Linked DNA regions of Macaca fascicularis. The protein of the gene in region 1 purifies or fractionates together with the protein of each later gene. This does not show direct contact. Links are inferred from orthologs where the notes say so. Each region holds a gene or a part of one and is shown on either strand. Other genes may lie near its edges.

Evidence for each region.
Region 2: the proteins of PSMB9 (region 1) and PSME1 purify together in Homo sapiens (affinity purification with mass spectrometry; 3 studies listed by BioGRID and IntAct, counting the BioPlex papers as one, with this or other methods). This does not show direct contact. The link is inferred for Macaca fascicularis from reciprocal best matches to the Homo sapiens genes PSMB9 and PSME1.

Annotation. Positions count from the first base shown.
Region 1 is NC_088378.1:138,874,175-138,878,670, forward strand, and holds the start of PSMB9 (proteasome subunit beta type-9), read right to left. Parts: upstream 2,863-4,496; 5' UTR 2,819-2,862; coding exon 2,759-2,818; exon of another isoform or gene 1,905-2,758; intron 907-1,904; coding exon 839-906; intron 214-838; exon of another isoform or gene 1-213. Other genes in the region: TAP1 (antigen peptide transporter 1), read left to right, coding at 3,431-4,028. UniProt on the Homo sapiens protein: The proteasome is a multicatalytic proteinase complex which is characterized by its ability to cleave peptides with Arg, Phe, Tyr, Leu, and Glu adjacent to the leaving group at neutral or slightly basic pH.
Region 2 is NC_088381.1:91,949,832-91,954,097, forward strand, and holds PSME1 (proteasome activator complex subunit 1), read left to right. Parts: upstream 1-1,414; 5' UTR 1,415-1,529; coding exon 1,530-1,568; intron 1,569-2,251; coding exon 2,252-2,284; intron 2,285-2,406; coding exon 2,407-2,469; intron 2,470-2,583; coding exon 2,584-2,694; intron 2,695-2,782; coding exon 2,783-2,828; intron 2,829-2,962; coding exon 2,963-3,060; intron 3,061-3,309; coding exon 3,310-3,378; intron 3,379-3,456; coding exon 3,457-3,524; intron 3,525-3,607; coding exon 3,608-3,662; intron 3,663-3,736; coding exon 3,737-3,823; intron 3,824-3,996; coding exon 3,997-4,077; 3' UTR 4,078-4,223; downstream 4,224-4,266. UniProt on the Homo sapiens protein: Implicated in immunoproteasome assembly and required for efficient antigen processing. The PA28 activator complex enhances the generation of class I binding peptides by altering the cleavage pattern of the proteasome.

The DNA.
Region 1 (4,496 bases):
GGTCTCAACATGTTGGCCAGGCTGATCTTGAACTCCTGACCTCAAATATCTGCCCACCTCGGCATCCCAAAGTGCTGAGATTACAGATGTGAGCCACTGCACCCAACCAGAACTCAGGAATTTTTGAAGGTGATCATTCAATGTCTCTCAAATTTATTTGACAAGAGAATAGCATGAAGTTTAATGCTTGGATTAAAGCAGGAGGCAAATAATCATCTCAGATATTATTAATCACTGCAGATGTTAATCAAAATTAGGTTTATTTTTCAGGCTTAGATTTTATAACAAAGCAAAAAATGCTAAGGTAAGAAAAATATGCCTCATCAATTTTTCTTTGCTATTAACAATCTATGCTATTAACATAGAACATAACTATGTTCTATGGAACATAATGTAAGTAATATTGACCTAACCCTATATACTCATTTTGCATGTGAGGAAATTGGTTAGGAGGGGGGAAAGAGACAACATAGTTCAATATATGGTAAATGAGAAACCAGGTATCTGCTTGACAGAATCATCTTTTTGATCTCTAAATACAGATGGAAAGAAGCTCCTCAAAAATCTGTCTCCTGTCCCCCACTCAGACCCTATTCCTTTACACTCATCCCTGTACACTACTGGGACAGGTCACATACGCATTCAGACCCCAGATCCTCCTCCACAAATTCAGAGACCCAAGCGCCCACCAAATAGCTTATCATAGTGGCTTTTTGGGAAGGTCAACTCCATTCCTCCAAAGCTCCGATTTGCCAGTCTTTTCATGAATGGGTAAGAAAAATGTGTATTTGAGGCCATTAGCTTCTTTCCAAATGCATACATCTTCACTTTTACTTACCCTGCAGACACTCGGGAATCAGAACCCACCACAACGCCCCCGTCAAACTCCACTGCCATGATGGTGGTCTGCAGAGACACAGAATATGGAATATCAGGGCAGGAAGAGCCTTGATGCCCTCATGTTAGAGAAGAAAAAATATTCCCAGAGAGGCGAAGTTGACTGGCTCAAAGATCACACAGTAACAGGCCAGAGCTGACTGTCAGTACAGGCTTTTTTCCCTTCATCTTTCCACTTTATCTATTGCTTCATCTGGCTGCAGGGGAATGCCACAGCGCAGCTGTGATACAACACAGAAAGAACTGTGGCCCTGAGTTCCAACTTGCCTAGTGGAATCCTCTCCACTGTAAAGAGAGAGGTGGAGATGAGGTTCCTACAGGTAGAAGTGAAGCAGCTCCACAAGTGAAAATTATCTCCATGGGAAAGGCTCCTAGTATGTGCAGATGTGGTTTAGACCCAACACAGAGCATTTGACTATGATTCTGGGAAACAAGGTCAGCCTTTTCTTTTCTTTTCTTTTGTTCACAATCCTCCACTCTCAACCCCCATTTCATCAGAAGTGAGCTCTTTCAATTTATTGAACAGTGGAAAAAATCGAGGAGGGCAGTGGTTAGCATGGCCAGCGGCAAGGCAGGAGAGAAGCAGCAAGGAACACGTAGATGGTTTAAAATAAAAGTTTCAGTTATGGAATTTCTGATCAAGAGGTAAATATCTCAGCAGCCAGGGGGGTAAATTTGTACCAAGAGAGGATTTGACTGAGAAGTTTAAGTTGACTTTTCCAGGTCAAGAAAAGAATCAAGAAAAAGTGAGGGGAGATAGAGCTACATTTTTCCTGCTGCTGAGTTGGAAGGAGTCTTAAAGATCCTCGGTTCAAATGAGGAAACCAAGTCACAGAAAATGCAAACGACTTATGCAGAGTCACACAGAATTAATAGTAGACCTGGGACTAAAATTCAGGTCTAACTCTTATCCCTTGTTTCCACTTCTACTTCCTACTTGCCACTGCTCATTTGGCAGTGAGGGGAGATTTCCCAGAGTATAAGTGGTTTCACTGTGCCTTTCTTACCAGGCTGTAAATTACTCTGGCCCCAAAGGACGCTTCTCTGAGTGTGCTTTCCGACGGACCGACTTATCATGAACAGAGGGTCAAAGAACAGGGTTAACTTCAAGTTAGAGGCTATTCCTCTGTAACAAAGCTGCCCCCAAGCCACGAGTGGTGGCAGTAGTCCAGAGCAGAAGCCAGCCAGCCAGTCTTGGGACTGCCATCTGCCCCAGGCGCCCATCCTAAGCAAAGTCCCCCCAGTGGGCACATGGGAGTGGGCAGGGAAGACACAGGGAAGGGAGCAAGGCAGCATCTGGGCCAAGGAGGAGCCTTTCTGGGTCAAGCTAGGGAAGGGCATCACTGGTTAACGCAGAACCCCCATTATCAGTGCTTGGGCTAAGAGTTACCCAGTGGCAAGTTTATCAAAAGTCTGTGTGATGAATTGGTCCTTCTCAATAAGTGCCTATATTTCCTTCTCCCAAGTGCTGTTCTACTTCACCCAGGGAACCATTTCTTCATCTCTTTGCACCATCCCCAACCCCCTTTCTTGATTTAACCAGCCCCCACTGTCTGGGACCAGAGTGAAAGCGAAAGCGCTTTAGAGTAGCTTCCCCTTGACGCTTCCAGCTAGGAGTCAAAGCACCCCCTTTTCCACCAGCCTCGCGTGCCTGGTCCCTTCACGGACACGCTAGGCGACCCCCCCCGCCCCCCAAGAAAAGAAATACCCTATGCTGACTGCGGGTTGCAAGTGCTGGCTGCTAGAGGCTACCTCCCTACGTTCCCGTCGGTCTCTGCATTCACTTCTCCGCGCTTCCAGGGTCCCCTGGCCGGTACACCTCCTCCATCCCTGTGCCAACCCTCAAGCCCAGACCCATTACCCCGGTGTGGACTTCTCCTGCCCGGGGTAAGTCCCCGGTTGGTGCTCCTGCCCGCAGCATCCCTGCCAGGCGCCGCTCTCCTCGCCGCCTGGGGCACTGGTTTCTGACCTGGGACAGCGCGCAGCGCGCAGCCAACAGCCCCGCCCCTTCGCGGCGCCGCCAGGAGGCGCCTGGGTGCTGCTGTGCGCCTTTGCGCGCTGCGCGGCGGCTTTGCGCGCGGCGCTAACCTGTATAGGGCAGATCTGCCCGGAGACAAGTGACGAGACAGCCCCGCCCTGAGGCTGGGGTGGGAAAACTGGTGCTAGTGGGAAGGCAGGAGGCAGGGAGAGGCGGGAGGGGTGTGCGTGACGGAGAAAATTGGGCACCAGGGTTGCTCCCAAGATTCTCAGATCTGATTTCCACGCTTGCTCCCAAAATAGTCTGGGCAGGCCACTTTTGGAAGTAGGCGTATCTAGTGAGCAGGCGGCCGCTTTCGATTTCGCTTTCCCCTAAGTGGCTGCGCTTCTCGCCAGCGCAGGATCAGACTGTTCCTGGGACTTTCCGAGAGCTCCGCCCTCTCTCCCTCCCCCAGCCGCCAGTAGGGGCGGACTCCGCGGTACCCAGAGCCTCAGGCCCCGCTGGAGCACGGAGAGTCCCAGGGCCGGCCGGGACCTGAACGGCGTCGGGGTGCCAATGGCTAGCTCTAGGTGCCCCGCTCCCCGCGGGTGCCGCTGCCTTCCTGGAGCTTCTCTCGCATGGCTGGGGACAGTACTGCTACTTCTCACCGACTGGGTGCTGCTCCGGACCGCGCTACCCCGCATATTCTCTCTGCTGGTGCCCACCGCGCTGCCGCTGCTCCAGGTCTGGGCGGTGGGCCTGAGCCGCTGGGCCGTGCTCTGGCTGGGGGCCTGCGGGGTCCTCAGGGCAACAGTTGGCTCCAAGAGCGAAAACGCAGGTGCCCAGGGCTGGCTGGCTGCTTTGGAGCCATTAGCTGCGGCACTGGGCTTGGCCCTGCCGGGACTTGCCTTGTTCCGAGAGTTGATCTCGTGGGGAGCTCCAGGGGCCGCGGATAGCACCAGGCTACTGCACTGGGGAAGTCACCCTAGCGCCTTCGTCGTCAGTTATGCAGCAGCACTGCCCGCAGCAGCCCTGTGGCACAAACTCGGGAGCCTCTGGGTGACCGGCGGTCAGGGCGTCTCTGGAGACCCTGTGCGTCGGCTTCTAGGCTGCCTGGGCTCGGAGATGCGCCGGCTCTCGCTGTTCCTGGTCCTGGTGATCCTCTCCTCTCTTGGTAAGGGGAACGCAGGGCAAGAGGGGAGGACATAAGGGGACCGGGACAGGAATCAAAAGTAATTGTCAGTGAGGTAGAGTAGCGTGGGTTCTGGGAAATGTGGAGCAGGGGAAGGAATCCTAGCATGGGTCTTGGAACACCACTTCAGTGTAGAAGAAACGGCATTGGACTGGCAGGGCCAGAAGTTCGAGGCTTGATTGATGGCCGGGTCTTGATTCTCTGGGCCACGCCGGAGGCGGGGAAATCCTTTGCTCTGGGGCCGAAGGGCGGGGCATCCTCATCTCTAACAGGAGGCTTTTCTACTTCATGATCTCCAGCCTTCCTAATAAAATCCTGAAAGTTCTGGTAGAGCAACCACAGGGTAGTGAGTTCCAGGGCAGCCTATTTCGGTTCGGGATTGAGACGTCAGTGTTTCCTTTCTGCTGATGCCCTCCAGAATAATGGTGAGGAGGCGTGGTGGGACCAGTC
Region 2 (4,266 bases), on another chromosome or scaffold:
ACAATGGTAGAGTTGAGTAGACAGACACTGTAAGGCCCATAAAGCCTACAATTTACTCTCTGGCTCTTTATAGAAAAAGCTGGCCAGACGCAGTGGCTCATGCCTGTAATCCCAGCACTTTGGGAGGCCGAGGCGGGCGGATCACGAGGTCAGCATATCGAGTCCATCCTGGCTAACATGGTGAAACCCCATCTCTACTAAAAATACAAAAATAGCCGAGCGTGGTGGGACGCGCCTGTAGTCCCAGCTACTGCGAAGGCTGAAGCAGGAGAATCGCTTGAACCCAGCAGGTGGAGGTTGCAGTAAGCTGAGATTGTGCCACTGCACTCCACCCTGGGCGACAGAGTGAGACTCTGTCCCCCAACACACACACACACACACACACACACACAGTTTGCTAGTTTAAATCAGTGAATTATCCTGGGGAGAAAAAAAAAAAAACCGGGCTAATATCAGAGATAAATGCTATGAATGTACTAAAACAGGCTGATTTGTAATGCATTTGGAGGGAGGTTCCTTATAGAGGATGATGAAAATAGTTGTCTCTGAAGAGGTGACATCTAAACTGAGAACCGAATGACAACACCCAGGGTAAGTGTGTTTTAGACAAAGGGATTATTAGCAAGGGCAAAGGCCCTGAGGCAGGAATGAACATGACACATTTGGGAAACAAATAGCCCGAGTATTTGCAAGTGTAATGAATGAAGGGGCAAGTAGTAGAAAGTGAACTTAAAGGGGAGACAGCTGCAACAGCCTTTTGGATTTCATTCTAAGGTCAACAGGCAGCTGAGAAAGGGTTTTAAGCCAGACAGAGGCATGAACCCGCTGCTCTGTGAGAGTGGGCTGTAGAATGGCATATGCCGCGGTGGTCCAGGAGAGAGCTGGTCCGGGCTTGGATAGGGATGCTGTCGGCTCTGGTGCCGGTGTTGCTACAGGTGCGGAGGATGTCGGCAGAGCCAGAGGCCCACGCTAGCAAGGCTAGGAAAGAGAGGCCAGGTCTTATTCCATCTCTGGGGAAAGACAGAAGAGCCCTAAGTAAGACTTATCTGTCCCAGGCGGAGCAGGGGAAGAAGAGAGCAGGTGGGGAGCCAGTTGGGAGGCGGAAGGTGGAGGGCGGGGCGCGGAGAGACTGGCTTAGACTAGACGATGGGAGGACCCGGCGTCCTCGGACGGCGGGCGGCGAGTGGCGAGAGGCGGGAGGCGGGAGGCGGGAGGCGGGAGGCGGGAGGCGGGAGGCGGGAGGCGGGAGGCGGGGACGAGAGGAGGGCGGGGAGGCGGGGACCCGGCCGGCGGGGGTGGGGAGGCTGGAAACTGGCCCTCGCGAGGCAGCCTGTGCGCGCTAGGGGGAGCCGCACCCGCCGCCCTCCTCTGCTGCACTGCACCTCTCCCTGGCCGGGCTGACCCCGCCTCCTCCAGCCCTCCCCGCCCCACTACCCAGGAAGGCCGTGAGTGGTGCGAGCGCCGCTTTCGCTTTCCCTTCGCGGTGCCCACTCCGTTCCTCGTGCGGCGCTAGGCCCCCCGTCCCGGTCATGGCCACGCTCAGGGTTCAGCCCGAGGCCCAAGCCAAGGTGAGCGCCGCGGGGTCTAGAAAAGGCCCACTGGGGAGGCGTGGCTCGAGCGGCCGGGGGCATCCCCGACCCGCCCCCCAGACTCCCACACAAGTCAGGGGCAGTCCGCCGAGCTGGCGCTCCCGGAGCACCTGCGCCCCGGGGAGGGCGGTGACTGCTGCCTGCGGGGACAGGCGAGGCGGCCGTGGTTCTGTGGGGTGAGGTGAAGCGGAGAGCTGGCGTGGAGGGGAACTCCGCTGGCCTGGAGCCGGGGCCACACACAGACTGGATGCGGGACTGCCCCAGCTACCTCGTGGCCTTTCCCTTAGGGAGGGTCCCGGGGCCCACCCCGTCCCTGTCCTGCTCGCAGAGGGCTCTCAGCACCCCTCCTCACACCTGCCAGGCGACCCCAGGGATCTGGTCTCACGTGAACCACTGGCCCTTCACTGCCAGGAATGTTCTCATCCCCCGTATCCAGCCCTAGGGATACCCATTCCACTCTCCGTAGATCCAGGTCTGCAGAGTTCCACTCCTCCACCACCCCAACCCACCCCACAGGCATCCATCTCGCTTTCTTCAGGTCTGGCCTTAGAGGGATCCCCTCCACCCTTCCCCAGGTCAGGCCCTACATAACCCTAAGGGAACTGTCCTCAAATGAACTGGCCTTAAAGCCAAGTTTCTGAAGGGATGCATGTGCCCCACAGGTGGATGTGTTTCGTGAAGACCTCTGTACCAAGGTAAGACATGCCCCATCAGCGGCCCCACCCCTGCCCAACTCCTACTGCTCAACCCTGCCTCACCACCTAGGATGGGCATATGATGCTGACTCCCATCCTTCTCCATCCCACCTCACACACAGACAGAGAACCTGCTCGGGAGCTATTTCCCCAAGAAGATTTCTGAGCTGGATGCATTTTTAAAGGTACCGCAGCTGGGCAGGGAGCTAGGGAGTAAAGGCCAAGAGAAGGGTCAGGGGCTGTGAGAGTGAGGTGAAAGGAACCCCCTCACCTCCAGCCCTCCTCCCACCCTACACCAGGAGCCAGCTCTCAATGAAGCCAACCTGAGCAATCTGAAGGCCCCGTTGGACATCCCAGTGCCTGATCCAGTCAAGGAGAAAGAGAAAGAGGAACGGAAGAAACAGCAGGAGGCAAGCTGGGAAGACCTGGGAGAAGGGATCCAACCATGGGGGTAATCAACCTTAGTCCTGACTCTCATGAGCCCCTCTTTTTCTGCAGAAGGAAGACAAGGATGAAAAGAAGAAGGGGGAGGATGAAGACAAAGGTACTTGAAACCACAATTGTGGGAAGAGACTTGAGTCCCACCCACAGGAGCTACTCCTAAGGATTTCTTTCTACTCTCCCCTTCAACCCTCACACAGGCTCAATCATGTGACTGACCCATTGCTCACTCTCTAGGTCCTCCCTGTGGTCCAGTGAACTGCAATGAAAAGATCTTGGTCCTTCTGCAGCGCTTGAAGCCTGAGATCAAGGATGTCATTGAGCAGCTCAACCTGGTAGGCTCTCCCCCTTCAACTCTCAGGCTTTAAGTCAAACCATTGTCCTCTTAGTCCCTGCCATTTAGGGCCTGGCACATGCCAGGTTTTAGCAAGAGAGGGCACAGCAAGTGAAACCAGAAGTCCGGGCTCTGAGGCTCAGGAGAGACCTGGCATGCCTCCAGCCAGTGTGGGGAGGGAAGCAAGGGAGAATATGAAACGGAATTGGATAGAGGGCTGATGTGGCATTACGCCATTCCCTCTTCCCAGGTCACCACCTGGTTGCAGCTGCAGATACCTCGGATTGAGGATGGTAACAATTTTGGAGTGGCTGTCCAGGTGAGAGTGCTGCCCCACTTCCCTGCTCTTTTCTAGTCCATGCTTCCTTCTACTTTCCCCCTTGCTTTTTTTCCCTAGGAGAAGGTGTTTGAGCTGATGACCAGCCTCCACACCAAGCTAGAAGGCTTCCACACCCAAATCTCTAAGTGAGTGACCACCCATGTACACACTGTCTGTTTTGGGACAGAGACCTCCTTCTTCTACTCCATACACACTTCTCCTTCCACAGGTATTTCTCTGAGCGTGGTGATGCAGTGACTAAAGCAGCCAAGCAGCCCCATGTGGTAGGTGAGGCCCAGGTCAGGGTGCATGAGGGAAGGACTCATGTAAGGTCAGGCCTGACCCGAGCTTCCCACAGGGTGATTATCGGCAGCTGGTGCACGAGCTGGATGAGGCAGAGTACCGGGACATCCGGCTGATGGTCATGGAGATCCGCAATGCTTATGTGAGGAGGCGAGGGCAGGGGTGGGCAGAGGCAGCTTTCCCAGGCCACGCACTCCCTGACCCTGCAGGCTGGGGGTAAAGGGTGACAAAGCGCAGCTTCTCCACAAGGCTAGAAATGGGGCACAGAGCCACTGGAGGCCTCTGACTGACCTCCACTCCTCCCTGGCCCTGTAGGCTGTGTTATATGACATCATCCTGAAGAACTTCGAGAAGCTCAAGAAGCCCAGGGGAGAAACAAAGGGAATGATCTATTGAGAGCCCTCTCTCCCATTCTGGGATGGGTACAGCAGAGACCTTCCTACTTTTTACTGGGGACTCCAGATTTTCCCCAAACTTGCTTCTGTTGAGATTTTTCCCTCATCTTGCCTCCCAGGCACAATAAATATAGTTATACCACTGCCCATCAGCCCAAGTCTCTTTATTGGATCTGGACCCTGCTGGCCC